Linked DNA regions of Pelodiscus sinensis. The protein of the gene in region 2 interacts with the protein of the main gene of each other region in a pairwise test. Links are inferred from orthologs where the notes say so. Each region holds a gene or a part of one and is shown on either strand. Other genes may lie near its edges.

Region 1 (7,871 bases), on a different chromosome or scaffold from region 2:
TCTAGTCAGCACGTCCTTCAAGATTTGAACTCCAGCTAATCTCATCTTCTCACACCTCATTTTTATTCACATATTACAAGAAGAAAAACAAGCTTTTCTTTTTTAACTCCCAATCCATTTTTCAACTTTGAATGAATTAATCATTTAATTTAAATGAATTAGCTGAATAAAGAAGAAAATATAGTCTATTCACCTGCAGAAGAGACTACTGCAGTCAAAAGCAGGTGTTCACCCAAACCTGGTTCCAGGTCCTTAGCCAGTGGTTTCCACTAAAGGTTACAGAACTAGCAGGAAGCATGTTTTTTTTAAAATGTAGTTCAAATTACTTTTTACAGATTATAGTGAATTTAGTCCTTAATATAGGTTGCCACGTTTTCACATTTTAAAGAGGTTTATTTTGAAAAAGAAAAAAATAAATGTTTATCAACCATGACTAAATTTAGGCAACAGAACTAGAAGATGGTAGTGCAGATCAAGATTATTTCAATCAGCCCAATACAGTTATCAAATTAGAGCACATGAAAGTTGCTTTTATCAGGAAGTGCTAAGAGCCAGATTATTTTGATTAAATGGGAGAGGCAACACTTATTCCCCATTTCACTAATATGGTTATCCAATTTCTGGCCAAAATCTCAAAGGATCAAAATGTCAGATCAGAAATTTGGAGCCAGATTTTAAAGGTGCAGTTGTAGTATCTATGTTCTATATTCCAATGAAAACTGAAGACTTGAAATTCAGCAGGCTCCCCTAGAATCCCAGTATAGACTGTGTTTTTTGTAGTAGTGTTGCATTGAGCTGCAATAACATTTTTTGTTTGTAGGTTTTTGATGAAGCATTGGAAAATAAATTTTATATATTTAAGCTGTATAATTTGCAAGATAGGGAACAAAAAAATAGCCAGTTCCACCTTCCAGCAGATCCCAAAGATTAGCTTTTATGGCACACTGATGTCAGGATTTATGGGCTTAGGGGGCTATTGATGCAAGAGGAATACCTAACTTAGGCCTGGTCTACACTACAGAGTTAGATTAATGGAAGCTGTCTTATATTGGCTTATTTCTAAAAATTGCTACACTACAATATTGCTCCTGCTTGTGCAAGTCACCTAGTATACTGACTGAACAACTTCATCTCTGAAAAAGGTGTGACAATTTTGGTCAATATGGTTTTGTCAATGCTGCATTAGCATTGACACTACATTGCTTACATCAGACTGGCAGTTAAAAGACCAGAAGCCCACTGTGCTGAGCTGATACTCAGAGTAGTAGCATTCCAGCTGCCAGGGTCATCACCTGATTGGAATTTAATCAGCGTGGTTGGGCTTTTTTATGGATTTGCCAGTTGCCCAAAAAGTTCTTTAATCTGTGAGGGGTTTTTTTTCCACATAGGTCTAAAGCAACATTTAGTAATAGTCACAATACACTGGGATATCTAAGTTAAAAGCTTCTCTGTCCTGCTAAAGGTGCTGCAGTACTCCTACTTCCACAGCTTAAGAAAACTGTGCTAACATTATCTAAATGCATTCTCTGTAGATGCTGTAAATAACTACTGAGGGGTATGGGTTGCAGCAGCCTTGCCCAGGGAAGGAAGAGGGAAAGATTCCTTCTATCACAAATTGAAAAATAATAACTCTAGCTGGCTGCCTATCCTGGTGGAGCACTCCAGCTGCCAGTGCACTATCATGCCTCACACTGACAGTTAAATTATTGCAAGTGTAAGCAGGGTCTGAATCAATGCTTCCATTACAGCAGGTTGGAACGGGAAAGAAATCCTGGATGTGTTTATGTAAATACAGTTTGCCCCTGATTTGCTTAGATGTGTTAGATATTCAGCTGTTACAATAGTGTTTTGCTCATTGTAACCAGTTTGGTTGTCACAGAGTCACAAACTGTGTTGACACTAAATTCAGGAATTTTGAGATATGATCACCAGTGCTTGCAGTTATTGTAGGAATGCAGAAAAGTCAGTCTGTGTTTAGCTCAGTTCAAAAGGAGAGAGAATGTCAGTGTAAAGAACCTTGGATACACAAGGTCTCACCTGCCAAAGCTTTGTGACCTTATCTGGGGGAAGAGTAGAATGCTCTGAATCGGCAAGCTACATGCCCTCCAGGTGTGAGCTATAAGATGGGTTCAACCTGTTCCCCCCTGCACTCTATTCTAATGATAGAACTAGAGCATATGCCATAAGGAGTCTCTTTATTAGTTTAAAATTACTCTAATGTATGCTGGAATTTCTTGTGGCTGGACTGTACTTTGGGCCAAGAATTGAAATCACTAAATTTGGCCCAGAGCCAAATTCACCACAAGCCAGTGAAAGATGCTGACAAGTGGTTAGCAGAGTGTCGGCAGCACGATGAACAGCCAGCAGAGTGACAATGGAGAAGCAAAAAAGCAGCCAGCAGGACAGCGATGGAGAGATGTAAAGAGCGGCCAGCAGAGCAACAGCAGCAAGGTGAGACAAATGGCCAGCAATGCAGAGAGCAGCTGGATGGTAGTGACTAATGGAGTAAGATGCCTCCTTATCTCCCCCCACTCAGGATGAGAGGCGAACTCTGCAGATGCACCTCTGAACTCTGGGTTTGTCCTGACCAAGGACAGCAATTGTGAGTGGTGTGCAGAGAAGGATTGGGCACATGAAGGGGACATTTACATTGCTGGATTTAACAAGTCAAGAGGAAAAGGACAGTGTCCAACCTACTTGGGGTAGGACTGTTTCTCATGGTTTTGGTTACAAACCATGTGTTTTTCCCAAATTAATGACACACTAGTTCCCTCCCCTTTTATTAAAGGTTTTTTTTCTCCACTCAGACTCTCTGCTTGGAGTGGGGAAGCATTGCCTCTCAGAGGCACCCATAGAGTATTGTGTGAATTTCCCAGGTTACTGAGTGGAGGCTCACACCAGTTTTATGTTGGATGGATGCAGAGGAACCCTTAGATATTGAACCCAGTCCTGGCTGCTGCTGGTGCTACCTGGCAGAAGACTTACACAAGCACTCTTGGTGAGGGTGCACAATACTGACAGAAGGTGCAAGTGCTAACCTGCAAAAACGTTTTAAGTACTGCAATAGCCACAGGTTGATCTAAGTCAACTTAATTTTGAGGTGTAGACTTACACCCAATTTCCACCTCCCCAGTAGGAGTTGGGAAGGTAGGACCCCAAGAACCACGATCCTTTCCCAGCATAGGGCTGGCCCCCTTCCCCGGCCTGAAAGCACAGCAGCCTCCATACTCACTTCTTGGAACACCTTCCAGAGGCTCCTGGCTACAGCTGCACAGTACTGGGAAGAGGCGAGAGGACGCTGCCAGGCCCAAACTATCTCGCAGCCCTGATTGCCTGCTGCAAGGTGAAGGAAGGGCCCCTGGGAGCTGCTCACCTGGGACAGGTGCAGCTGGGAGGGATAGAGGGGTTGTCCATACAAGTGCCTGATGTTTTTACACACGTCAACGCCATGATGGGTTTATTATTCGGGCCCCAGTGGCTTTGCCAGACTGTGCGAGAATATTGTAGTGCCTTTTATTCCCCACCTTCACTTCCTATCAGGCACACACAATAGACGCCGTTAACGTGCGGCGCCGCAAAGCGCGGGGAAGTTTTCGCGACGGTCTGGCAAAGGGAAGAAGCCCGAAGGAAGGACCCTTCTTCTTTTTGGTTCGGCCGGGGGAGGAAGATGGCGGCTGGGGATGTGAAGTCTGTGCTTTTCGTGTGCCTGGGTGAGTGCGGGGCGGCCGCGCAGGGGAGAGAGGGGCCGTTCCGGGGCAGCAGCCGCAGGAAGGGCGGGCTGGGGAGGGGTAAGAGTAGAGCCCGTGCCCTCCCGAGTAGGTTCCCCCCAGCTCCCCAGGAAGCAGATGAAGGTGAGTGACTCAATGGAGGGAGGATAGAGGTGCACCCTGCGTAGCTGAGGAGCCCCCTGCTCCTTTAATACGCAGTTCGAGTCTTTCCTATCCACGTTCCCCTTCCTAGTCTGCTTGCTCACTCCACTCCCAAGGAGCTGTGGTCTGTGCCCAGAGGCCTTGATACAGGGTCATAGTACGTGTAGCCGCAGGCTACATGTTCATGCTTAGTATCTCCCCGATAGAGTTTGCAGCGAAGGTTCTGGTTATGATACTATCGTGTTTTTATGGGTGAGCTATTTAATGGGGCAGAGAATATGCATGTGTGTGTGACACCAGGTTTGGAAGAAAGGCTGTAAACAAACTTCTGAATTTCCTGAAATAAACAAGATAAACATCAGTGAAGAGAAATGAGAAGAATTTCACTTAGAAATAGGGATATTGGATATATATTAGATAGCATGTAATTTGATGCAGTTACATAATTACTGAATTGTAGTGGTTACATGACTATTCAATAGTCCCTGGGAGTGGGGTCAGCCCTAGTAAGCTCCTAGCCCCGCTCCTGGAGAACCTCCTGCCAGGTCCCGCTCCTACATCTATAAAAAGCATCTCCTTGCACAGACTGGCACAGAGCATCCTCTGTCCGCGAGGAGCTTGAATCCACCAGAAACAGAGGCTGCTGCTGCAGAGCAGCCTTTGCAGTGGCAGCAGCGCCGGGGAGGGTGGGGTGAGTTGGTGGGTCTGTGTTGTTGATGCTCGGGGGAGTTGGCTCCTTGCATGTATCAACTCCTGCCTGCCCCCCTCACTCTCCTCTCTGCTGCCTCTCTATCAGAGGCAGCAGCACAAGAGTGGGGATGGCATGCAGATCCTGTGCTCGTGGAGAGACTGCTTAAAAGCCGTCACCCCCCCCTTGCTGCCTCTTATTCAGAGGCAGAATGGTGTAGGGAGGGAGGGATACATGTAGCCAGCAGGTTTAGCTGATAAACCTATGGTTATCGCTTAATCGTGTCGTTGTCTACACACTGACATCATAATATAAGAGTGTGGCAAGCTAAGATGATCCTTGAGAAGGCCAGTCTTCATTTGTTAAATTAGACCTGTTATGAAACCATATCTGCCTTGTATTTATAATGAAAAATTGATATTCATTACACAGCAAATTACAGTTTAATGTCTTCTGTCTACAATTAATTAAACAGCTAATAACCACTAATAGAGCACCTCTAGATTGTAAACTCTCTGGGGCAGGGACATGGCTTGCTCTGTGTGTTTAGCTCAGTGTTAAATAATACTAGAGAAATTTGGGAATGGAGAGAATAAATCATATTAACTATTTTCAGGGAAGGATGAATAAAGTCTGAAAGAACAAGTGATTGATCTGAAATGATTGTAATGAATGTTAACTCCCTTGAATGTTTTCCTTATATTAGTTACCCAAAGAGTTGGAGTCATATGACAACAAAGGCTGAATGATGTGTGGGAGAGCTTATTTTTTGTAATAAATGCTGACCTGTCAGTTTCATTCATTTAAAATATAATTTTAAGACTGAATTGTGCTTTCTTTCTGCCATTGTTGAGTTTTGTGGTGTTTTTCTACAGGTTTTACCTGCCTTAACCAGGACTCTCTGGTCTGGCAACATCCATGGTCTGGCAGGACCAGGGATGTTCCTGGACCAGAGAGCCCAGGTATAGGGAGGTCTGGCCATGGGGGCGGCAACTCACCAGGGAGCCCCATTGGGGAGGGAATGTGTGCAGAGGGGTGGGTGGTGTAGCAGAGACTTCTCCCTGTGGCCAGGAGGTAGTAGGGTTCAGCAGTGGCCGCAGAGCTCTGGCCCCAGCTGCAGCCAGGGAGCTCCAGCCCCGGCTGCAGAGTTTGGGGTCCCACAGTGGCTGTGGAGCTCCAGCCATTGGAGCTTGGGGTCTGGAAATGGCTGTGGAGCTCTGGCCGCAGAGCTTGGGATTCAGCTGTGGCTGCAGAGCTCTGACTGCGGAGCTTAGGTCTGGCTGCAGCAGCTACGGAGTTCCAGCCTGACTAGCCATGGCCAGGCAGGCAGTAGCAGGGCCAGGCAGTAGCCCTAGCTGGGGCGGAGGCAGGCAGCAGAACAGCACAGGCCATGTTGGGAGAGACCTCCCCTGGTATGGAAAATCCCCTCGTTCAACTTGTAGTGGTCTAAAATTTCCTGTGCTCTAAAAATGATCTTGATAGACTATTAACATTAAGTATATGTAATATTTTATTCAAAGAATAAAACTGAGAGTCCAGTCAATTCAAAATTATAAATGTTATTTTTAATCCACACTTTAAATATCTGAAACTTTCAATAATTCAAGTGTTCAGTTGTCTGAGGGGTGAAACAGCCTATCATTTCTGAAGATACTCCTATGCTCTTGAGAGTTAATTCCACAGTGTAAAAGGGTTCAGACAGTCAGATTGTTTTCTTATGCATTTGTTTCGGAAAAAAAAATAATAGTCAAATATTCACTTATCTGCTTTCTGTTTATAACAAGAGAAACTGATATTCATTATGCAGCAAAATATCTAATTAATACATGCCTAATTAGATCATTGCTGATTTTTTTTTCTTCTCAGTGAACTATAAATTAAACATACAACAATGCAAATAACCCAAATACATAAAAGAGAAATTGGGACTGAGAAAAGGAGAACAAGTTGAAGTTTTTATTTAATTTAAGGGTAGACTTTTTAAAAATATATATATATATATATATATTCTTTTTACACTTGTATAGTATCTTTTGTTGTAGGTGCTCATCCATTAATTTTCCTAGTGCCAGTAACTGGCAGATTATACCCTACATGCAGATTGTTAAATTCTGTGTGTCTTGTAGTTGATTTTATCCACAGGCATGCGACAATTTAGAGCTCCTGTGTTCTTTCCCTAACTTTCAGTTGTCTGCTCTATTCTCTAATCCCAGGGTAGGCAATAAGCAGCCCACAGGCTGGACGTGCTTTACCATGTCAGGGTTAACCCTGGCAAACTACATCCAGCCCCCCTGAGTCTCTTGTTGCCTACCCCTGCCTTGCTGTATGTTTAGGAGTAATAAACATTATATTTTACATAGTGATTGAAAAGCCTCAGCCATATGGACAATAGCTTACTAATATAAACTTAGTTCTTTGCTTGATGAAAGCTGTAGAAATAATCACTTTTGTTTTCTGCTTCAGGTAGAAGGGATTAAGGGGACATGTCCTTACTATTAAAAAGTAGTGAAGAAAAAACATACCTTCTGGAGAAAACTGTTATGCAGTCATTTGGTTTCCTCACACATGAAAATATTTTTTTAACCTTTTTATAAAAGCTTTTGCAGCTGTATTAAGTTATGATCACAGAAACTCACATAGCAAGGATGTCAGCCCAGATATGTATTTGAACAGGAGGCCCTGATATACTGCCAAAAGTGTATTTGGTGATGCATTAAATGATACTCTCCTCCAATAAATACTGGAGCAATGACTTGTCTTAATGCCTCTTTACACTAGAGAAATTTGCTCTAGGGTAACTGCATCTAAATCTAAAATGGGGTTTACACAGGTGCAGTTAACTCTGGTAATTTCCAATTAAGTTGCATTGATGTAAACTACCTCTGTAAAATCCTGTTGAATTGGTTAACTGGTTCTATGTAATATGGAAAAGGTTGTAGAGCAGTTTTTAAACTAAGGGCTGGGTAAAAGCCGATGGGTGCGGAGATGCACATGGATTAGACAGAGACATCTCTTAGGGGAAGGTCTATTAATAGAGATTTTCTATGTTCTAGTTAGGAGTGGATGAAAGATGATAAAATATGGGTCAGATCAGATGAGACAATCAAATGAAAAAGAATCTAACACATCAGGAAATGGCAGACAGATAAATTTTTAAAGTGCTTATACACAAATGCTAGAAGTCTAAGTAATAAGATAGGTGAATGCCTCGTTTTAAAGGCGGATATTGATATACAGTAAACTTCCGATAGTCCAGCACCTTTAGGACCCAGGGGGTGCCGGATTATCAGATATGCCGGGCTGAAGAGTCTGGG
Region 2 (7,929 bases):
GGGCCCGCAGGGACCCTATTCGGAGGCAGCCGTGTGCTGGGTTCCCACAGCCCTGGGCCCGTCTGGGCTGGCTCTGGCTGGTCCCTGGCTGAGCGCTGGCGGGACGCACCCTGGACAGAAGCGGGAGCCGAGTCTGGCCGTGGCCCGGGCCCAGCAAAGAGCCTTTGTGGAGCTGTCGGCTCCTGGCCGGGAAGCGGATGGATGAGCTGTCCCAGGAAGGGCATAGCTGAGCCTGCCTCTGGCTCTCCATAGTGAGGCCCCAGGGCGCAGGGCCCCAGGCAGCGGGGGGGGGGGGGGCAGAGCAGGGGCTCTGCTATTTCCAGCTGGGGTGGGGGGAGGAGGCTGAAGAGGAACTGGAGCTGGGCCGGGGGCCGAGGGGCCGAGGGGCGATGAGGCGCCGGGACCTGGACCAGGCGATGGGGGGGGGGACCAGAGCTCTCGGCTCACTCGGGGAGGGAGAGGGGCTCGTGGCATTGGGGGCCGACAGGGCGACTCGAGGGTTCTCCCATGTGGGGCAGAGGGGGGTGGCCCGGGGACTAGTGAGGGGCCTGGCATTCTCAGCAGGGGTCTGCCCCCCCACTCTCTGGCCGGCAGGGGGCAGAGCCAGGTGGCCGCAGGAGGGGCCAGAGGGGCTCAGTGGCTGTGGCTGGTGAGGGTGGGGGCAGATCCCAGCCCTGGGCCCTGGACCCACTCAGGCTGCATCACTCAGGAAGGGGTGGGAGCAGAGGTAGGGAGTGGGCGAGCAGGGATGAGACAAGGCAGAGAGCAGAGGTGGGAGGAGGCGGGAAGAAGGGGGAGCAGGGGGGGAGCAGGAGTGGAGGGAGGCGGGAGCAGGGGCGGGAAGAGGGGGAAGCAGGGGTGGGAAGAGGGGGGAGCAGAGGTGGGAGGAGGCGGGAAGAGGGGGGAGCAGGGGTGGGAGGAGGCGGGAAGAGGGGGGAGCAGGGGGGAGCAGGAGTGGGGGGAGGCGGGAGCAGGGGCGGGAAGAGGCAGGAGTAGGGGCGGGAAGAGGGGGGAGCAGGGGGGAGCAGGAGTGGGGGGAGGCGGGAGCAGGGGCGGGAAGAGGCAGGAGTAGGGGCGGGAAGAGGGGGGAGCAGGGGGGAGCAGGAGTGGGGGGAGGCGGGAGTAGGGGCGGGAAGAGGGGGAAGCACGGGTGGGAGGAGGCGGGAAGAGGGGGGAGCAGGGGAGGAGCAGGAGTGGGGGGAGGCGGGAGTAGGGGCGGGAAGAGGGGGAAGCAGGGGTGGGAGGAGGTGGGGAGAGGGGGGAGCAGGGGCCAGGCGTGGTGTTGAGGGGGGTGGGGCCAGTGTCCCATCCCCCTCTCACCAGTCGCCCCGGTGGTAGATGTCCAGGCGTGAAACGGGAGGGCGGTTTGTGCCCGTCCGTGGCGCGAAGCCGGTCTCTGGCCCAAGCCGGAGCTGGCCGCGTGCCTGGGGGCCGGGAAGAGGAGGCTGCTGACCAGGCACGTGGCCCCAGCCACGGGGATCAGCGACCGGCGGGAGCCAGGCCGGCCGGGGAGGGCTCTGCGGCTCTGCACGGGGCTCTCGCCCAGGCCTGCCTGGTGGGTCTGTCCCACTGCTCAGGGTCTGGCTGCCATGTTTGGGGCTGGGAAGGAATTGAACCCCGGTCAGATTGGCGGAGGGAGGTGACTCTGCACGCTGGCCCCGCCTCCAGCCCCAGCCCCGCAGCTCCCATTGGCCGGGAGTGCAGCCACTGGGAGCGGCGCTTGCGGGTGTGGGCAGCGTGCAGCGCGACCCCCCCCGGGGACACAGGGACATGCTGGAAGCTTCCGGGCGCGGCGCAGGGCCAGGGCAGGCAGGGACCCTGCGGCTCCAACACCCAGGGGCTGCCTGAGGTAATTGCCGCCCGGCCAGAGCCTGCTCCCTGCACCCCCGGTCCCAGCCTGGTGAAAGTGAGGGAGGGGGTGGGGCCTCTGGAAGGGGGCGGGGCAGGGTCTCTGGGAAGGGGCGGGGCCTCAGGGAAGGGGCGGGGCAGGAGCGTGTGCATTGCCGCCGCTGGGTCCTCGCAGAGCTCACGGGAGGCCAGCTCAGCTCAGCTCCCGGCGCACCATGTCCCTGTCGGCCAGGCACAGGGCGCCGCCGGCTGGCAGTGGGGGAGCCCAGGCCCTGGGCCGCCCGGAGAGCCCCCAACTCCCACCCCCGGGGCCAGGAAGAGCCCACAAGAGACGGGAAGGGGACAAGTGGCCAGAACGTCTCTGGCCCCCTCCCAAATTCGTCCTGACTAAGCCCAGCCCCAGTGTGAGCTGGAAGGGCCTGGTGGCGGGAGCCCCGCCAAGGACCCTCCTTCCGGCGCCTCGGGCACTCGGCGTCCTTGGCTGGTGGCCTGCCGCCTCCCATGCAGCTTTGGTCCTTGTGCTGAGCTGGCACCGAGGGCGCCCAGCGTGCGGCCACCACAATTACCTGCTCTCAGGCCCGGGCACCGCAGGGCCTGCCCCCAGCCCTGCTCCGCCCGCCAGCGCTCCTCCCGGCCTGGGAACAGGGCCCCGGAGCCCTGAGCGCCGCCCGGCTCGCCCTGCTGGGCCCGGCAGCATCCCGGGGAGAACCGGGAGCAGCCGCACGTCTCCGCAGCGTTCCCAGAGCCGCTGGGCTGGCAGCCAAGCCCAGAGCTCCCAGCGACACGGAGCGGGAGTCTCGTAATTAGCTTCTGGCGCGGCTTGGACACTTCAAAGACTCTTTCTAGTCAAGACAAAGCCAAGTTCTGTGCTCCGGTCGCTTTGGCGGGGAGCCGCCGGGACGGCCGCGCAGAGCTGGCACTGGGCAGGGCGGGGGGCAGGCAGGAGCAGGGCCCATCTCACTGGCGCTGGCGTCGCCCCCTGGAAGCAAACACATCCCGAGGACAATCCACACACACTCAGTTTGCACACACGTGCACAGCGTGCACACCCTTTGTACACACTCACACACCCACACACAGCCCTCACATCCCGGACATATGCTCACCCTTCCCATCCCCCTACAAAACCACATCCACCCCTCGCACAGCCACGTGTACCCCCTGCACACACGTCCCTCGCACACTTCTTACCCCGGGGAGCCCTGCTGACGTGCCCTTTGTACATCCGTCCCTTGCACACTCCTTTCCCCGGGGAGCCCTGCTGACGTGCCCTTTGTACACCCGTCCCTCGCACACTCCTTTCCCCGGGGAGCCCTGCTGACGTGCCCTTTGTACACCCGTCCCTTGCACACTCCTTTGCCCGGGGAGCCCTGCTGACGTGCCCTTTGTACATCCGTCCCTTGCACACTCCTTTGCCCGGGGAGCCCTGCTGACGTGCCCTTTGTACACCCGTCCCTTGCACACTCCTTTGCCCGGGGAGCCCTGCTGACGTGCCCTTTGTACACCCGTTCCTTGCACACTCCTTTCCCCACGGAGCCCTGCTGACGTGCCCTTTGTACACCCGTCCCTTGCACACTCCTTTGCCCGGGGAGCCCTGCTGACGTGCCCTTTGTACACCCGTTCCTTGCACACTCCTTTCCCCACGGAGCCCTGCTGACGTGCCCTTTGTACACCCGTCCCTTGCACACTCCTTTGCCCGGGGAGCCCTGCTGACGTGCCCTTTGTACACCCGTCCCTTGCACACTCCTTTGCCCGGGGAGCCCTGCTGACGTGCCCTTTGTACACCCGTTCCTTGCACACTCCTTTCCCCACGGAGCCCTGCTGACGTGCCCTTTGTACACCCGTCCCTTGCACACTCCTTTGCCCGGGGAGCCCTGCTGACATGCCCTTTGTACACCCGTCCCTTGCACACTTCTTTTCCCGGGGAGCCCTGCTGACGTGCCCTTTGTACACCTGTCCCTTGCACACTCCTTTCTCCGCGGAGCCCTGCTGACGTGCCCTTTGCACACACATCCCTTGCACCCTCCTTTGCCCGGGGAGCCCTGCTGACGTGCCCTTTAAACACCCGTCCCATGCACACTCCTTTCACAGGGGAGCCCTACTGACATGCCCTTTGTACACCCGTCCCTTGCACCCTCCTTTGCCCGGGGAGCCCTGCTGACGTGCCCTTGCACACACATCCCTTGTACGTTCCTTTGCCCGGGGAGCGCTGCTGTGTCCCGGGGCCTGGCTGCGGTGCCTGGCACGCCCTGTGCTTACAGGAAAGGCTGCGGTCACTCCTGCCAGTCTCTGGGATGCTGGGAAGGGGCACGGGCAGGCCAGGCTGTCCCCTGCCGCAGCCGCCTGCCAGGAACACGCAGCCACGAAATGAGTTCATGGGAAGCTGGTGCCCGCCCACCAGAGGGGCCGGGGCTCCGGGAGCAGGGGCAGGGGCAGGTCCTTCCGCGTTTGTTCTCCTGGCCCAAAGCAATAGCCGAGGCGTTCTGCCTGCTCTGCCGTCCTTTGTTCCCCTGCCAGGGGCCTGGGCAGTTGGCCTGGTACACGGCGGGCTCTAGGACCTGGCTCACAACGCCACCTCCGCCCGCCCCCGGGCTGGTCCTCTATAAACCCGGCTGCACAGGGAGAGTTCCCAGGCTGGCCCCGGCTCAGGCACAGCCGGGAGGATGAGCCTGAGGATGGAGAGCCAGCGCCTGTCCTCCTACCGGCGCCGCTTCGGCCCGCAGGCTGCTGCCGGCCACCAGCCCCTCCGGGCCTCGCCCCTCATGTGGCTCCTCTCCCCCAGCCCCAGCCCCCGAGTCTCCATGACCAAGAGGAGGAGCTCGAGCCTGAGCATCCAGGCCAGCTCCAGGGTCCCCCCGGGCAAGGCAGACTTCTCCCTGGCCGAGGCGCTCAACTCCGAGTTCAAGGAGACGCGCACCAACGAGAAGGTGGAGATGATGGAGCTGAACGATCGCTTCGCCAGCTACATCGAGAAGGTGCGCTTCCTGGAGCAGCAGAACAAGGTGCTGGCGGCGGAGCTCAACCAGATCCGGGACAAGGAGCCCACCAAGCTGGCCGACATCTACCAGGAGGAGCTGAGGGAGCTGCGCCGGCAGGTGGACCAGCTGTCCAATGCCAAGACCCGGCTGGAGATTGAGCGGGACAACCTGCTGGAGGACACCAACGGCCTCCGGCAGAAGTAAGGAGCCGCCTGGACGGGCCGACGGCTCTGCAGCCGGAGCGGGCGCGGGGAACGGCCCGGTGGTAACCAGGCTTCGCCGCGAGGGCAGCGACTAACGCGGAGTAGCTGCAGTTCTGGGGGGACCCTGGGTGTGGGCATGAAGGCAGGGGGAGCAGGGACTGGATTAGCGGGAAGGCGGGGGTGCAGGGGCCAGGCGTTAAGAGGAAGGGGGGTGCAGGGGCCGGGCGTTAAGAGGAAGGGGGGTGCAGGGGCCCAGTTAGCGGGGAGGCGGGGGTGCAGGGGCCAGGCGTTAAGAGGAAGGGGGGTGCAGGGGCCGGGCGTTAAGAGGAAGGGGGGTGCAGGGGCCGGGCGTTAAGAGGAAGGGGGGTGCAGGGGCCCAGTTAGCGGGGAGGCGGGGGTGCAGGGGCCAGGCGTTAAGAGGAAGGGGGGTGCAGGGGCCGGGCGTTAAGAGGAAGGGGGGTGCAGGGGCCCAGTTAGCGGGGAGGCGGGGGTGCAGGGGCCGGGCGTTAAGAGGAAGGGGGGTGCAGGGGCCGGGCGTTAAGAGGAAGGGGGGTGCAGGGGCCCAGTTAGTGGGGAGGCGGGGGTGCAGGGGCCGGGCGTTAAGAGGAAGGGGGGGTGCAGGGCTGTTTTAGCGGGGAGACAGGGTGCAGGGACCGGTGGTTATTATGCCAGCTGGAGCCCACCTCTGCCATTCACCTGCTGGCCAGTCACGTCCCCGCTCTGCGCCCAGCTGCCCCGGCGGGTGGCTTTGGACGGGCTCTGCGGGTGGGGAGAGCTCAGTGGAGCCAACTCCGCCCCGGTAACCGACCGGCCCACTGGTGAGAGATTACGCTGCCCACACCCGCACGGCCCCGTGTGCCCGCACCAGATGGGCCTGTACACGTTGCCTGGCACACGTCTGTGCCTGCACTAGCAGCTGGATTGCAGGGCGGCAGCTGGCCCAGGCCTCAGGGGGGCACGAGCGTGGCAGCCCCGGGCCTGCGTAGCCTGGCTCACACTCCGACCTCTCGTGCGCCGGTGGTGAGAGACGTGCACCGTTCCTGGCACAACCCACACGGGTCGAGACACCAGAAACGACCTTAACCTGGGAGCCAGATGGCAGAATGTGGGAGGGTGGCCGAAGAGGTGACGGTTCGCCAGCCTCAGACAGAGGTTTGCTTGTGGGGGTTGCTGGCTCTTTCTAGAGGCAGTGTTGTCTAATGGTTAGTGCAATGGAGGGGAGTTTGACTTTCAGGATCCCAGTTGCCGTGCTGGGAGGGGAGAGTGCTCTGACAGCACATGGAAAATCATGACTCCTGAGTTCTGCTTGGAGAGAGGACGGGGTCTAGGTGCAGGCAGCAGGGGCTTGGAGTCGTAACTGCTGGGTCCTCACCACTCACTGTGGGCAAGAGCTGGGCTGGGCAGTAACTCTCGACGGGGCCACGCCAAGATTTTGGTGAGGGATCAAGAGCCGCGCTTGTCTACGGATGGGGTGCGGGATCGGGGTGGAGGCTGGGTGCAGAAGGGAGCTTAGGGTTCAGCCTGGGACAGGGGATTGGGGTGCAGGGTCTGGGAGGAGCTCTGGCCACAGGAGAGGATTCTGGCCTGGGGGAGGGGTGCGAGAGGGGGTTCAGGGTCTGGGAGGGAGTTGGGGTGTGGGAGGGGGTGCGGTGCCAGAGGCAGGCTCTGGTGGGGGGACACTTACTTAAGCAGCCCCTGACCGCTCTGTGCCAAGTGGCTCTCTGTGCGGGGGGGGCTTCACACAGTGCCTCTGCCCCCAGCAAAATCTCTCAGCTCCACTGGCCGATGGAGGGTGAGCGATTTGCTGCGGGCAGGGATCGCACGAAGCCTCCCCCACCACAGCACAGAAGCCACAGGGAGCAGCCAGTCACTTTGAGCAGCGCTGCTACCTGCCCGGGGGGGGGGGGGGGGCGATTACAAGGGCTGTCGGCCTGGATCCAGCCATGGGCTTTATCTTGCCCACCCTCGGGCAAGAGGCTATTTGCTGCGCTGGAGGGGTAATTGCAGAGTCCTAGCGCTGCAGGGAGCTACAGACACGCTCGTTTTCGTTGCACTGGGGAAGGGCTCACGATTGTTGCTGCTGGCGAGACCTCGGTGGGAGGTGCCCCGTGCAGTTCTGTTCGTCAGAGAGCTCTGATTGGTCGAAGCGGAGCTGTCCGGGGAGGGACGGTGGGGACGCATCGCTGGGTTCGGGCGCAGTAGTTTGGGAATGGCCGAAACAGCCCATTGCTGCATTTCCACTTTGGCGGGGAGCGCCTGGTGCTCTCCAGGTTCCACAACAGCTTCTGTAACAGGTTAAGACATAAAAAGGACAGAACTGAAACAAACCGGACCAAGCGCCCTCGGCACGTGTCACGTTACTGGGGCGAGAGACATTTTTGCCCTTTCTTGCCCCGATCCAGGATGAGAAACAAGGTGGGTCTGTTCCGACCTCTCCCAGGCGGGGCACCCAGCACCCCCACCCGGCGCTCACCGTCAGGGGCGCACGAGCCTTGGTGGGACTCTGGCAAACACCCGCAACGGGGGCCAGATTCCTGTTCGGCTTATGGTGAGTTCAGCCCTTGAGCCAATCAGGCCTCCGCTGTGTTTGCTGAGCCCTTGAAAACCTGGCTCAGGGCCCGTTGAAAACCCTGGCCCTGGTGTCTCTGGAGCTCCGGTGAGGTGGAGGGTCCGTCCTTCCTCAGGCTACCTCTGGTCTCTTGCGCCCGTGAGCTGTCTGGGCTGGGCCGTCTCTCCCTCTCTGTCCCGGCAGCCTGGGGCTCGCTGGGCCTACGTGTGACAGCACGCACTAGTGACACCCTGCGCTGCGGACAAAGCCAGCAGGTCACAAGCCGAGGTGTGAAGGGCGACATCCCTGGCGAGTCAGCCCCCCTCGCACGCACACCAGACACACACACACG
Region 3 (8,081 bases), on a different chromosome or scaffold from region 2:
TTAGGCAGAATGGCCAAGAATGCGGTCTGTGTGCTATCTTTGGATTTGTTCACAAGACAACTAGAAATCTAAAGATAGGAAGTTTGCTCAGAGACTTTAACACTGGCATATTTAAAAAGTCCTAATTTTATACGTAGACTTTTATTTACACAAAAGAAAACATGCAGATATGGGGAGGGACTCAAATCTCTTACATATATTCAAGTACATCAGAACACAATACAAAAGCTTAATGTAGTTTGTTTTACAAATCTAAATAAATACATTAGTCCACTGGCATGGCCCTGGAAGACAGTCAAACTAGAGTCTATCCCCAACTCTGATTCTGAGACCTTGCAAAAATCATGTAAACTTTCAGCAACTCTATTTCCCTTTCTGTAAAAGTACAGCTCATGAACCCCACCACCCTATGTAAAAATCTGAGTTTTATCGATGGACAAGTGCTAAGTAATGTTGTTATATTATGATATAATTGTAGAGGGAAAATTTTATTGAATGGTGATAGATTTTATAGACCTGATTCTCACTTAGTCAGTTTTTTACATCAGTAACTCCACTGACTTCAGTAGAGTTACTACTGATTTACACAAGCAAAAGGTGAGAATCACATCAATTAATGCATTCTAGGGAGTGACAGTTCAGTAGTCATACATGGTACGATGTACTGTATTCAGTTTGTGTGTTCCTTAAATTTGGGTTTCAGAACAGACAGTTGTGTTAATCAAGTGAACATATATATTCATATCTTTTCACAATAAACTTGCAGATTGCATTGGTTCGTGATCAGTGGTTGTGTCAATGTAATTTGTAAGATCACGAAGAACTACTCCCTTTATTGAACATGTTTCCTTTAATGTAGTGATTACTAAAAGAATTACCTGGTGTTGCTTGGGTCCTAGAGGGTGATAGTGTTGCCCCCTGAGGCCAATGGGGGCCATGTTGCCCAGATGGCAGCTGCTCTGTGGCTCTCAGAGGCTGCTGGGGGCATGCTTGCTTGCTCCCCCTCTGTGGTTATTCTGGAGTATAACTCTCCTGCTATCACAGCCCCCTTGTTCCATTTGATGAGAAACAATCACAATCCATGCACATCCCATTGTCCTGGAACAACCAAAAATCTGACCTTGCTTTAAATTATGATAAGAGGAAGCTGCAGACTAAATTTGGTAGTCCTAACTCTTATGGTTCAGGAGGAGTTCTTGAACAAACAGATGCACAGATGGACAGACAAACAGATGCACAAACTCTCTCAAATATATAGTAGACTAGTTTACATCTAATTTTGTAATTCCCTTTTGAGCCTCATGCAAAGCTCTCCTCACCCCTTTATTGGGCAAAAAAGATTGATTTGGCTGGATCCGCAACATGAGCAGCACCCACTTTCTGAGTTTTTTCAGCCAACTGAACTCAATATATTGAATATCTGTTTCAATCTATGAAGCATATCTAGTCATATCAATTTTTTTTTCATTTATTTACTACAAAAGTTGTGGGGGAAGGAAGATTGGGGAGGAGAAGGACATACCAGAAGTAATTCACTTTTTTAATAGACGTTTTTAACTTATTCAAGAGACTTCGGAGGAATTAACCAAACTGATCTCTCTATTCACTCACTTGACTTCTCTTGAATGATTCAGATACATGCAGCAAAGATCAGTGCAAAAACAAACTAAAGACATATTGAGATGGGTACAGAGTGGAAACTATCAAAATGCAATGAAGTCCCAGAAAAAGTTAGCTGCAACTAGTTGCTTGTAACTGTAATTTTCCATCAAAAGTGCTTCTCTCTCTCATTCATGGTTTCTTTTCCTTTTCATATCACTTCTTATTCCCTTCACGTTTCCTCTTAAGATGCAAATAATAATAGTGAAGCTCATGATTGTTGATGTTTGCTCTGATGGCCGCTACTGCAGTAAATCTACCGAGTAAATTCCTTAGAGCAGTGTTTCTCAACTAGTGGTATGAGTACCCTTAGAGGTACTCAAGAGAAGTCTGGGGGAGGAAGGGGTATGTCAGCACAACTGAAATTTGGAGATAACTGAATTTTTGTTTTAAATTTTACAATGTTTTATTATTTTTGTACTTTTTACACCCAAAAATGTCATTGCCTTCCCGGCTATGATTAAGTTGTTTAAACAAATGTGTTGCAATAGTAGAAAAAAAATTGTGTGTCTGAAAACTGTAGGTACTGGGGGTATTTTTATATATATATATATATATATTTCTATATATATATATATATATATATATATATATATATATTTATTTAAAGAGGGGGTACTTTATTAAAAAAAAGGTTGAGAAACACTGCCTCAGAGGACTTTGACCCCTGCCCCTATAGTTGTCTCTTTCTTTGCTTCTTTCTCTCTGAAAGCTAGAAATAAGATCCCAATCGCTAATACTGCTATTAAACTCACCATTTGTATAAAACACTGGGCTGTTCCCACAGGTACTCCACATGGCTTGAGCAAAACAAACAAATGAAAAAAAAACCCTGCTTCCTTTTTATTAAAATACCTTTTTCTTTCACATGTGAAAGCCTATCACCCCAGCACAACCATGATTTTCATTTGCCTTGTGGAACATTACAGTGTCTGAAATCTGGCTATATTGGCACTTTCCACATGTCCTAGACAAGGTCAAAAGCTCATTACAGCAATCAACTTTATGCAAATAATCAATTTTGTCAACATCAGCTGTATTTATCTTTTCACTGTACCCTTTCCTCCTCTCAAATAAAGAGTTTAGGCAACTCCTGGTCTCTAATGTTACTCTTTCTTCCCTCCACCTCCCCTCTATGTTCATATAAAAATGCAAAATAATTTGAACTGAATTTCTGATGTGGTATGACAACTTCTAAAAATAATGTGCTGCGACATCAGAAGAGGTGTTATTTTTCACCACAGATTAACGATAGCGGACATACACAGCTATTCAGATAAACAGATCTTCTTCTTTTTTATGAGTGGTTAATTCACAGTAAGATAAGGTGATGGTTTCTGGATGGATAATAAATGATAGGTCTATTTATATATTTGTAAAGAAATGGTCGGCATCATAGTTTTTATGCACTTTGTATTAAACCTATAAGAAACTCTCAGAGTGTCATTCTATTATTTAAAAACAAAAGGTTGGCAAAAATGGGCTGTCATCTCTTTCTTGTTAATAAATCATTCCATGGTTTGGAAACACTGGCTGAACCATGGAACAGCCTTTCTTTAAGAAATAAACAACCACCATCACACTTTTAAATTATTATTGCTCTAGGTGCAAATATAAAAATGAGGCAGATGTTTACAAGAAACCTTGGTCAAACTGTTTACTGCCTTAATACTGAGTATTGTTAACTTTCTTTTCTATTTCATAAATAAGGCCATAATTCTTCCAAAATCACTGAGATTTCCAAACGTCCTTACCTTTTGTGGAGTAAGCAATCCTTCAGAAGTTTTTCAGTCCATTTCTCAGTGTAGTAGTGAAAGCAGTGAAATGCATAGCTAGATGGGATAAGGAGTTCCAGTTCTGTGAATCCTGATCCTTTAAGAAAACAAGAAGCCAGGAAAGAGAGAACTTTTCAATCGGAGCAGCACTGCAACTCTCTTTGATTAACTTCACAACTTCAGTTTTGCAAACTGAAAAACAGTTCTATTTGGCATCCTCCCGGCAGCTGGGTTCCATGTGACGTCAGTACATGGAGGATGGTTTTAAAGCCATTTCTTCCACCCCCACCTCTGTAACTTTATATCTGCTCATATTTTGTGTAAACAACTTCAAGTCCAGGACATTTTTAGGTTTTATAGTGCAGCCTAGTATTTAAAGCTTGCCAAAGCAACCAATGTCAATGTTAAAGCTATGACAATGGACAATTTTAGATTTCTTTTATTAGTTAAAGGCAACCCTGTGTTTTAAAGTAGGATTCTTTTCTACATTCCACACCCAGTTTTGAGGGGCACATTTTAAGTTCTTTAGGAGCTGTGTTGTTAAAGTACATTTGTTTATAAGAGCAACTTTTCATGATCCACAGCTCCCCTAAAACACCCACTTTCCCCCACCCTAAAAGCTTTATTTTTTGTATTCAATTATAGTATCATTTCTGAAATAAGACAGTACAACTCATTGTGTAATCCGATCTTATTTGTATTCTAGGAATGCTGACAATGACTCATTCAAAATATATACAAATATTTTTACTACTTTACATCCCTTCGCTGGCAGAAACCTGGGAGAGATGATGGAAGATGTCTCTTGTTTCAGCTGCACCCCACAACCCTGGCACAAGAGGAGGGAGGAGACAAACAAGATAGGCTTGAGGTAAAGGGTGTGTATGATTAAGTTGAGGTCTGCTACCAAATATCCTCCACAGGTGTAACATTAGTGAAGTACCTTATGCCTATATAAATTTGAGCTGCTACTCTGCAACACTGACCTAGGCTGGTGCTAGACAGCGGAGAATTAGGGAGCTACAACCACCATACCCCTACTCTCCATGGAGCCTGAATGGAGTGGGGTAGAGAATCTAGCCCACTGTGACAAATCCTTGTATTTGCCTATCTAATTGAATAGTGTTGTTGCATTTCACTGTAGATTATAAATTCCATGCTCATTTGGTATTTGATCTGTTCTGGATATGGTGTGGACCTACATAATCTCAGCAGGAACTTTGGCAGGGATCTGACCCAAGGAGCCCCAAGGTGTGCAAGTATGGGGGAGCGGGATGCATACTACTTTGCCATCGGCAAAGCATCAGGAAAATGGAGACATGTCTCTTTTCTGCCCCCACTTCCATATTTCACCAGTAGTGGTTCAGGAGCTTATCTGTGCTGGGGAACTACAACTGAGATGGCCTCTGCTTACACCCTGAGGTTGGGGTCTAAGATTACTTGTGCCCTCAACCATTTGCAACCTGCATTGACTTATATTGTGCATGGCTCATCTCCAGATGTATGCAGCGGCTTCTGGCAGTGCTGAACAGAAGACTGGTGGGCATCTGCTATTAGGCATGTGAGTGCTATTCTAATTGCCTTGAATGGGAACAATGTTCAGGCCCTCCAGAGCAGAATCTGAGCATCTTACAAACAATAGCATTTGCTTGTGGGATCAAGGAGATAGTCTGCCTAGGCGCTGTGGGGATCACTTACTCAGCACTTTCCCCCTTTGGAATGACAAGGTGTGCCTATGTTAAAACAAATGTACAATAGAAGAGTTTCAGCTGAGGGTGCATTTTACAGTCAACACCAAAGTTGGTTGCAGTGAAAATACATTTTTTCTCCTTATATGGTCAGAGACTAAGTGAAGATATTACTTGGGTGCTTACTCTGCCCCTGTGAAAGATGTGCCATGGGACTCGGACTGTTTATACAAGTTTCAAAAGCCATTTTTTAGAAAGAAGAAAGATGATTGAATGTGACAGATGGTTCCTGAGGAAAATCCTCAGCCCATTCATTTAAAAATCCTTCTTGTTTAAAACCCCAGAGATACTTTCTGCCCTCAGTTACACTCAAACAACTCAGCTGTGCCTATGTAAAATGGAGCAGGACTGAGCCCCTAATTGAGGATTATGGATCCAACCCTCTTCTCACAACTTCAATGGAGTCAACAAGGCTGCACAGGTGTAAAAGGAGGGGCGGAGTATGATCTTAAGAACTTTTAATCCTATAGTTCCTTAAATATAGACTATCATTCCAATGTATTTATTTAAATTTTACTAAATTGGTGCCTATTGTCATCCAAGTGCTGTGAAACAAAATATTAAAACACAGACTCTTACAAATTGTGACCTCAGTTTTTACTGACATTCACTTGAGATTTGCCTTCAAGTCAGAATGAGGACCGACTAAAAACAGAGCAAGGTCTTGAGGGTTAGCTCTGTGAATAAAATGATGCAACTCAGTAGGAAGCCAGACCTAAGGCAAACTGAAGTCTATGTTGTGAGCCACACAAAAAGGTGTCTAAGGATTGTAGCTCCCCTGCAGTCAGTTAGGGTATTAGAAGATTAGAATGAAAATTTATGGGACTATGAAGGAGATGTGTTTCTGCATTGACCCTATGCAGCTCCCTGAAAGTCAAATGGGGTTTTTGCCTGAGGGCAGAATTTGAGCCTTCCATTTTACTTTTAAAGTATGATTCTACCTGAAAATGACTGTTTTAAAATAGCATCTACTTATTCAGCAGACAAGATCCCAGTGTGGCTGGCACCACTGGCAGAGTATACATGACTCTTACATGGGCATGCTGTGATTGGGAGGGCACAAGAAGCCTTCCCCTGTCTCTAGCCTGTTTAAAGACCAGGCAAAATTGCTTGCCCCGAGGGAAAAGCATGCTCCCCCAACCAGCATGCACAGCAGAATGGAGACACCCAGCTAGCAAATTGCCTCCAAGAAAAGAATGAAATAGCAGGCATGTTCCCATTAAAGTCGGAGAGTTCAGAGAATTTTTTTCTGTTAAGTGTCTCCTCAAACTCTCAGTGAGGCAATGCAACTGCACATGGTCCCCCTATTCTGGGCACGATCTAGCCCTTTGTGACGAGAATAAAGATTTACTCCTCTTAAAAGATTTACCAGAGTCAACATGGCTACAAAAAAAAAATTCCTGTATTCTATTACTTTTCATACACCAGCAGACTCGGTAACTAAATTCCAATCGCAAAAGGGGTTTGGTAGAAAATACAATTGCAACTGTGCAACCCCCATGACTTTACGGACACCTCTATAAGGGAGGGGAATATTATTCACAATTTACAGTTGGGGGAACAGAGTCACAGAAAGGTTACATCATGCAACTTGCTCAAGGTCACATTGGAAATCTATGATAGACATTTATAACATGTTTTCTCTCCTAAATTACAGCATAGCTTGCCAATAAATACTGCATAACTTATGGCAGAAACTGGTCTTGCATATTGTTTCCCCATCACTAAAAGAAAATAACAGTGTCCGAAATGTAAGTTAGTAGATGATAGGTGATAATAGACCCTCTTATTCTGGGCTGATTAGAAGAAATGGCTTGTTATACTCAAAAGCTCTACTTGTTTATGTAAACAATCCTTCAAGTTCATGTGCAGTTCATCTTTTTTTATAATGCATATTTAGACAGATATTGTTTTGACAGTTTTCTATACTCCAACTGCTGGGTATATTTCTGTTTCATATGGGCACCTGCTCTCTTCCAGTTCTTATTCTAAAGCATTTGCGACAAATGTCAGCAAACCCATGTCTTATTATATCTGTAATATGGAACTGCAGACACACATATTTTCAGATTAAATAAATATCTTTGTTCCTGAACAAGATCTTTCAAACTACCATTTATTTTCATAGGTGCAAGTTACTTTGCAGTTACAATTTAGAAAATAGTTTAGAGGCATTTACTATTTAAAAGAATGTACATCTGGATGTTAAAAGGAAACAGACTTGACTCAATTTCTCTGGTTGTATTCAAAGAAAAAATACATTCAGAGTCTGCCCTTGTGGGAAATCTGCGAAGGCCAGAGAATGAGCTAAAATGTTCATTTTTTTTTTACAGTGCTACCATACTGTTGAACATTTGACAGTATCTTCAGTGATGCCAAATGATTAAAAAATAATCACAAGATAAAAAAGTAATTGCAATTCATTATAGTTTTAATTTTGCTTTTAAACAATTACAGAATATGAATTTAAAATTATAAATCTTTTTGGATTTTTCTCTGCTTTCAAATATATTGATTTCAATTACAACACAGAATACAAAGTGTACAGAGCTAATGTTACACTACTATTTTTATTACAAATATTTTCACTGTAAAAAGACTAAAAATAGTATTTTTCAGTTCATCTAATAAGAGTACTGTAGTGCAATCTCTTTATCGTGCACTTGCAGTTTCAAAAATGTAAATTTTTTTAACATAACTGCATTCAAAACCAAAAATATATAAAGCTTGAGCTTATAAGTCCACTCAGTCTTATTTCTTGTTCAGCCAAAGAAGGTAACAAAGTGAAATTTCTTAAGATAGCTATAGTACTTGACCCAAGGTTTAAGTATCTGAAGTGCCTTCCAAACATTGAGAGGGATGAATTGTGGGACATGCTGTCAGAAGTCCTAAAAGTAAA
Region 4 (8,136 bases), on a different chromosome or scaffold from region 2:
TGTTTTGAGCAAAGTGACCCTTTTAGTGTTTTTGGCTAAACAGAATTAATCTGAAGTGAAACCAAGGACTTCATTGGTCCCCTTTAAGTGCTGACAGTCCCACATATGAAATTCAAATATCTGAGACAGAAGGGGCCGAAAGTCCTTTGGCTCTGATAGTGTTCTTCATACTCAGACTTCAGGAGCAGAGAACTAAAGGTAGGCATTGCTATTGCAGATGTTTCTGCTGTAATGGAGGAGAGAAGAAAAAGATGCTAAGGAAAAAATGTGGGTGTACTAAATATTTTGAGTCCCTTCTATCCTGAGCTATACTTAAAACTTATACTAGCTTAGCTATGTTGGTCAGAGGTGTGAAAATCCACACACCCCCGCTGACATAGCTATGCTGCCAAAGCCTTCAGTGTAGATGCAGGTATATTAACAGAAGTGGGCTAATGTCCCTAAGGGTATGTCTACACTACCACCCTAGTTCGAACTAGGGTGGTAGTGTAGACATACCCTCAGGTAGTAATATTACACCTGTGGAAAAACTCCTTTGGATGCACACCTACAAAACTGGGCTGTGCTAGCACAGAGAAGGCTTTGTGGGTTTGGAAAGGGGTTTTAAATCTTTTGCTGCTGGTCATTAGAGCACAAATGTCTAGATAATGTGCTTATACCACAATCTTAACCTGTATTCTCAGGTACCAAAGATCTCCGCCCACTACCTATCTAATTGCCAGATCTTCCAGCTTTCTGCCCTGATGACCTCTACAGTGCAATGATGTACAAAAATATTTTCACACTTTGGAGGAAGTTACATATCTTGAAGGAATTACAGAAACAGTAGGTTGCTGTATGGACTGGGTTCATTACTTTCCATTTAATTCATTGAAAAACTCAAGTTTTTAAGTATTAATTGATGCTGAATTTCCAATCTGTTGCCCCAGCCTGCCATGCAAACCAGAGCACTTTCTGGCAGAATTCAGGGCCAACTGACTGTGTAGCCAGATGGGTCTTTGGGATATTACTAGTCGGTGGGATGGAACTCTTCTTTTTTTTTTCTTTTCTGTGCCTGACCATTATAAAATGCACAACAAGGGAAAATGTAATACATGGGAAATAAGGTTCACTCTGGGGAGCAGGTCCAGGGGGAGGCAATTTCACTGTTCAACAGCTCCTGCCAAAGAGCTATCCTAGTGAGTGTTGTGGTTTACTAACACATCTTTCTCTGACTGGCTCTTCAAAAAAATCTGTGTAATTATGTAGTTAATGACTGATAACCCTTTGGATGGACTTTTGTCTGCTTATCACTAAGAGAAAAAGCTGTCATGTGACCAAGGCAAGCTGTGATGTACAAATTACACATTAATCGCAGCCCAGATAAATACGGTCCATGTGATCACCTGTCCTGCTGTAAAGATTTCCTAGGTACTCTGTGTTTCTCTCCTTATGCGCCAGACCTTGTGGATGATATATGTAGAAACTCTGTCTCGTTTCAGCTGTCTGGTATTCTAATCAATTCAGGTTTGTGACTCTGAACTACTCTCTCTGACCACCCACAGGATGCTAGCCTAGGTCAGCAGAGTCCATGAGAAGCTTTGTGACTAGAGAGAGAGCTATTCAAAATAAATTGGGCTCGTTTATAAAGAAATAGGCCCATGTTGCAGGGATGGTCTGGCCTGGGACTTTGTGGGTGTGGAGATAATTAACAAGACTATTTCTAAGAAGCATTGACAAAATTTGTCCAAGATCCCATTAATGCCAGCGAAGCTCTAGCTGCTGACTTGTCCCTCCAAATTGTTCTCTGTATTGTTGCTATCCCCCTAAAGATGGATAGACAGGCCCACATGCACATATCACTCTTAACAATCAGATTATAATCTGGAATAATTATTCCAGATTAACTCTCTGTGTGACCCCTCTCATTCTGGTGCTATTTAACAAAGTCAGAATTTAAGATACTCTTTTTCTTGAATAAGAGTGCCCGCAAAGGTTTGCAAGGAAAAGATGCTTTAAATTCACACCAGATTTCATAATAAGTTAATTTTCATGTATAAACAAGCTCAAAAACAATCTCCTCCTCCCCGTTTATTAAAAGATGATTGCCCCTATAGGTGAAAGGATATGGGTGAGTTAGGTCAGCTAGCATATTGAAAGTCAGATGGGCACAGATGTGTTATGGAAGCTGAAGGAAGATACAGTTTTGTCAGCTTAGGACCCTGCCCATAGCTGGAAAGATTGAATATACTGCAATACTTAGCACTGAACATATCCACAAAAGAGAAATTAAGACTGAAGTAAATTCAGTTGTAGCAGGTGCATCCTTTCCTAAACCCAATTTTGAAAATTTCTCCTGGTAGAGATTCTAATCCCAAACACAGCTCTCCTATAGGTAAAGAGGAGACCACAGCACACAATTTACCTGCCTTTCCTTTGAAAAGTCACGATTTGCCCTGATTCTATCCCCCATGCACTGGTATTATGACAAATCCTCCATGTAGACAGGCAAAGCAACCACTTGCCCTTGTGGAACTGACCTGCTTTAAACTGGAGCAGGCTGCATTTGTGAAAATTGCAGCGCATAGTGGCTTGTTCTAAATACTCTAGGGCAGCGGTTCCCAACCTTTTCCAGATGGGGACCCATTTTGACAATGCAGGAAGACTTGGTGACCCAAGGCAATTCAAAAATGGGGGGAGGTGGGGAGGCAGAGCCACCTGTGGAGACACTTTTGAAATGTAATGGCGACCCATATTTGGGTCCCAACCCATAGGTTGGGAAACCCTGCTCTAGGGCTATGTTTACACTGCCCCCGTTTTGCACAAAAAATATGCAAATGAGGCGAAGCGTGGAATATCGCTGCATCTCATTTGCATAATAAATTAGGCTTCGTTTTTGCGGAAGAGGCTTTTGCGCAAAAACCTCTTTGTAAGAGCTGTTCTTCCGCATTTTTTTTCAGGAAGAATGGCTCTTGACAAGAGAGGGTTTTTGCGCAAAAAGGAGCTGTGTAGATGGCTCTTTTTTGCGCACAAGCCTCTTGCACAAAAACAGAGCCTCATTAATTATGTAAATGAAGTGCTGTGATATTCCATGCTTTGCCTCATTTGCATATTTTTTTGCGCAAAACGGGGGCAGTGTAGAAATATCCTAGGAGTTTTCACCAGTCCCTGAAATAGAGATAAATCCCAGCGAAAACCAAGCCGAAGAAATCTGCAGGTGCCGGAAATGGCAGATATTGAACTCATGCACCTCAGGGGGGGAGTGGGGAAGCTAGCATGGGGCTTAATGCTAATACTCCTTTTGCTGCACAAAAGCTTTGAGGAATAGGGGTAAACAACCTAAAAAGGTAACCAGGGTAGTAACTCCTGGGAGGTTTGGGGGCAAGGGTTAGTAAAGAAAGAAGGGAAGTTCTTACCCGTGTCTGCAGGGTGCTGTCCCCTAGGGAATTCTCAGCAGTCTCTCCTGTGGCTTTGCCTGTAGGTACAGCTGAATTTGGACTGTGCAAAGGTTGAGTTAAAAGATTATCTATTTAACTGAGTCTTACTTCATGTATTCACCTCCTTGATAACCTGCCTGCAGTGGTGCAAATCACTTCTCCTTTCTCAGCAACTTTGAATTCTGCTCTGGGGTTTTATTGATCATTATACTGTCAAACTCAGACTTTTACAGGGAGCAGATCCAAGATAAGCCTGATCTTTGCTCTTGGTAAGAGCTTTCCCCTAAAACAGACAAGGGCTCACATAGAGCAGATCCAAGACAAGTTTCAACCACTAGAAATGAGCATTGGCAGGCAGGCTCTGGTGACAGGGACTCAGCTATTGGAAAGAACGCGTCTGTTGTACCTCTACTGGTTATAGTCTCCAAATTAATAACTGCCTTAGTTACACTGTTGCAAAATGGCATTGTGAGGTTCCATGGTTAATATCTGATTGTTTCCTTAGCAAATCAGCTCCGTTGACAAGGAAAAGTAAACTTAAGATATTTGCCTGTGTAACCGTGAGCAAATTTTCTGTGGAATCAGCAGTGGGGCCAACAGCCTTGCTGGGCCCTGAGCAAGGCAGAGCCCCCTACTCTGTGCCCCTGGAAGGGGCGGGGCCTCAGGTGGAAGGAGGCATGGCTGTGGATAGCCACCTTTCAGCACTGCCTGGACCACAGCCTCCCTACCCCTCCTCCCAGCCCTCTGGCAGTGATTTAAAGGGCCCAGAGTTCCAGCTACTGCGGTAGTGGTAGATAAGACCCCAATACTCTTTTGTATTGCTGGGCCCGACAACAGTTGCTCCTTTGGCCCCGTCCTCTCCATGGGCAGGCCTGGGAATCTGTGATGCATTATATCCATGTCTGTTATGAGCTAAAGAATAGGAACAGACAGTCCCAAGAGGCTAGAGGGGTGGAAGTAAAAGGCATCGAAATCTGTCTGAATATTGCATTAATATGATCTTTGCATATAGGCAGGATGAATGTGGAGATGCATGAAAATCTTCCTTCTGGATGTTGGGCATGGGACTCCATATGCATTCTGAGGGTAGGAATTATTTGTATTACAATAGTGTCCAGAGGCCTCAATAAAGATTGAAGCCCATTCTGGTAGGTGCTAGACAAACACATGGTAAGACAGAATCCCTGCTTCAAACAGCTTGCAATGTAAACAGGTGAGTGACAAAGGCTAGATAAGGAAACAGAGGCAGAGAGGTGAAAAGCAACATGTCTGAGGTCACCCAGAAGTTGTGGAGGTGGGACTAGAACCTAAGTCTCTAGGAGCAGCATGCTATTTGGGTAATGTGTCGGGAGGTTTTGTTGATGCAAAGTAGCTTCATTGATATTCACTAAGGGCCAGTTGACTCAATGAGCTTGGTGGATACAGATGAGGCTCTAACAGCCCATGTATTGTTTTGAGAACAGTAATTTGCGCCTCTATGGGTATGTCTACACTGCAGGCTAAAGTCAAGATATGCAATTTCAGCTACATTAATTGTGTAACTGAAGTTGAAGTAGCTTAACTTGGCTCTTGGCGCTGTCTACGCATCAGGAAGTCGAAGGAGGAACTCTCTTGAACTTCCCTTGCTCCTTGTGAAACGAGGGTTACGGAGCTCGGACTAAGAAGCCTGTTATTTCAAAATAGTTTTGAAATAATGGGCTTGCTGTGTAGACACACACTCTGTTGTTTTGAAATAAGCATGCAGTGTAGACATAGCCTATAACATCTTCCAACTGAAGTAGAGGCAGAGATGGCCAGAGGGGCAGAAGAAGGGGGGTAGGCTGTGTGGGTAGGTTCCAGAGGGCAAGCAGGGGTTTGAGGGAGGTAGTGTTGGGGAGTGTCTACCAGCTGAGGGTGAGGGATTGGGATTCTCTTCCTATGGTGAGTGAGTTATAGGAAAATTGGTAAATGGGAATGGGGCTGGCAATGTTCTTTGGGAATGAGTGTGGTGGGTTTGACCCAGCAGCTGGGTAGGAGAATGCATGTGGGTGCACGAACAGTAGAGCAATGAGGTCAGGGCATGGGGCTTTGTGGAAGGATGAGGGTGCAGTATTGAGTGAGTAAGCAAGCATATGGGCCACATTAAAGCATAGACAAGCTAGGCATGTGCCTAGGGCCAATTTGGGGGAGGCAAAGGGAGTCAACCAGAATTCCATTGCACTCTGCATCAGGTTGCAATGCCAATCACTCAAATTTTAACATACTGTCCCTCCTTCATGGCAGAGGGGCCAAACCTGAGTGGGTAGTGAGGTGGCCAGTGCTAATGCTTTTTGGCACTGCAGTGCAGCTAGTTTCTGCACCAGACATCCACTGGAGCTTGACTGCCATCCAGGCTCCGGATGGGGGAATGGGCTGAATTAATAGGCATCATGTAATTGCCTGAAACACCTGGACCTCATAGAATATGTCTAAGGTTGCTGATTTTGGTTGGGTGATTTCCTGGAGGTTTCATCACATGACAGTCTTTAATGAAAGATTAATCTTTAATTCCTGGAGACTCCAGGACAATCCTGGAGGCCTGGCAACCCTATATACCTACACAGCAAGTGGCAGGGATTCTCAATGCCCGAGACTAGAGACTTGAGCTCATGTTACAGTGCTAAAAATAAAAAACATGGACTTTGTAGCTTAGGGAGGAGTGTGTGCTTCATGGGTCATGCCACAATGTCTATACTGCTGTTTTTAGCACCATCACACAAACATGAAGCTGTTGCCCCAGGCTCTGAGACTTTCTGCCACTTTGTTGTATAGATGCCCCCATAAGAGGGGCTGGAGGAACTGATTTTGGGGGAGGAACTACAGTGAGCAAGTTATACTCCTATAAAGGGGCCCTGAAGCAGGGTCTTCCAGAGCAGGGAAGACTCAAAGATATCCCAAAGGGGCCAAGACTGTAAGAGGATTTCAAGGAAAGAGCTTGGGAGAGGCCCCTGCATCCCAGAAAGATTAAAAGATAGCCTGAGCCCAGAGGGTGGGCTGAGGGGGGCCCAAGCCGGGTGTGAAAGAATGTTTTGTTTTGTTTGGACTTCTCTGATCCCAGAAGAGAATTGAACTCTGAGCGTGACCCAGCTAGAGGGCTAAGCCACGTGAATCCCAAGGGCAACAGAAAAAGCCTGGTTCCACAGGTCAATTAATACTGGAGTACTTTTTATCTACTAAGATTATCATTAAGCTGTAAAATGCTTCTGAAGATTTGTGTTATAAAAGAATAAAATTTTAAAAAATGGAGGCAGGGAGTGGTTGCAGTGCCACATTCAGCTGGCAAGGAGAGGCACATATTTGAAACCTGAAGTGTTGCTGATTAATACAGTATCTTGCTTATCTATATCTATCAACCTCCCCACCTGCACACCCTATGGGAAGGCTGGTTTACAAGCATATCTCTAGAGCCCTGCAAATCCACAGATATGCACTTGATATCCACAGATGCGGATATCCATGACTCATTTTTGCAGATACGGGTGCAGCTACAGATATCATTTTGGATCTAGAACCAGGCATAATTTGCAGATACTTGCCTTATGTCCATGGGCAGGGTTCGCCAAGTGGCGGCGAGCCCCACTCGCCAGCCGCACAGTTCTGCAAGCCGCGCATGTGTAGATCGCGCTGCGCATGCGCAGATCGTGTGACGCTGGCTGTGCCGGCTTGTAATCTACTCGCCACAGGCGAGTATATTACATGATTTGTCAAGCCCTGTCCATGGGCATCTGTGGATCATTTTTGCAGCTGTGGATCCCAATTTTGTCTCACCACAGGGCTCTACATATCTCTGCCATTGTGGGGTCCAGATGGTTAGTTCAAAAATAGAAAGTTGATATTCACATAGAATCACCTGATTCCAGGAGCAGGAGCGCTAAGGAAACATCAAGTATGGCACGACTTGTCAATACAGAGGCAGGACAGTTTAATACTGTGATTCTAATATTCCAAGACAAGCAGTGAGTTCCATTTATAACAATGACAACCTTGTCATTCTCTCCTTGATTAATTCATCTTTACCTAAATCCTGGCTGTGGTAGCTCAGGGCCTGGTTAGTGCACTTGCTCGCTCTTGTTCCTTCCCATCTTAGCTATTTGCCTTTTCAGGTTCTCCCATCTGCTAATATTTATGTACCCCAGCCCTGGCCCCCTGAGCCACCGCACAGCAGCCAGCTTTAGCTGCAGCATCTGCCTGCACGTGGCATGAATTTCCCAAGCACTTTGGGTGGGAGGGGAAAGGGACCAGCCAGTAGCCAACGGGGAAACTAGTGGGAGGTGGGTCTAGTACCTACAGCTGGGCTCTGCCCCCTGCCACACTCACCACCAGCAGCAGGCCAAGTGGAGCAGCGGCCCCAGCTTGCAGTGCTCCTTTGGTCACATCTCTTACGGGACAGACGGGACGGCTCCACACTCACTGCCGGAAAGCAGAGCATTGGGGCTGAGGAAGCAGAGCAAGCTAGGGCCACCTTGCTCCACTTGCCTCACTGCTGCTGGTGAGTATGGGGAGGAGGGAAGAGGACAGCCCCTGCTGCCAGCTCTGCTAGTCCCCGAGGCCGCATAGCTCAGGGGAGTGGAAAAAGGTGGAGCAAGGGTGGTGAGAGGCAGGACCTGAGATGGAGGGGAGTTGTCCCAGCCTTTCCTCAGGCTGAGGGGGCACATGGCTGGTGCCCCCTCCTACCATGTTATGTTTCAAGCTTTGCTCTGCA

The links.
Region 1: the proteins of GFAP (region 2) and SH3YL1 interact in binary tests that used the Homo sapiens proteins (3 or more experiments, as listed by UniProt). The two-hybrid records come from large-scale screens. The link is inferred for Pelodiscus sinensis from reciprocal best matches to the Homo sapiens genes GFAP and SH3YL1.
Region 3: the proteins of GFAP (region 2) and KIAA0408 interact in binary tests that used the Homo sapiens proteins (3 or more experiments, as listed by UniProt). The link is inferred for Pelodiscus sinensis from reciprocal best matches to the Homo sapiens genes GFAP and KIAA0408.
Region 4: the proteins of GFAP (region 2) and PDZK1 interact in binary tests that used the Homo sapiens proteins (3 or more experiments, as listed by UniProt). The link is inferred for Pelodiscus sinensis from reciprocal best matches to the Homo sapiens genes GFAP and PDZK1.

What each region holds. Positions count from the first base shown.
Region 1 is NC_134713.1:35,446,419-35,454,289, reverse strand, and holds the start of SH3YL1 (SH3 domain-containing YSC84-like protein 1), read right to left. Parts: upstream 3,392-7,871; 5' UTR 3,234-3,391; coding exon 3,233-3,233; intron 1-3,232. Other genes in the region: ACP1 (low molecular weight phosphotyrosine protein phosphatase), read left to right, coding at 3,668-3,710.
Region 2 is NC_134739.1:200,972-208,900, reverse strand, and holds the start of GFAP (glial fibrillary acidic protein), read left to right. Parts: upstream 1-4,459; 5' UTR 4,460-4,511; coding exon 4,512-5,026; intron 5,027-7,929.
Region 3 is NC_134713.1:90,711,374-90,719,454, forward strand, and holds the start of KIAA0408 (uncharacterized protein KIAA0408 homolog), read right to left. Parts: upstream 3,678-8,081; 5' UTR 3,414-3,677; intron 1-3,413.
Region 4 is NC_134711.1:163,350,620-163,358,755, forward strand, and holds the start of PDZK1 (Na(+)/H(+) exchange regulatory cofactor NHE-RF3), read right to left. Parts: upstream 3,538-8,136; 5' UTR 3,396-3,537; intron 1-3,395. UniProt on the Homo sapiens protein: A scaffold protein that connects plasma membrane proteins and regulatory components, regulating their surface expression in epithelial cells apical domains.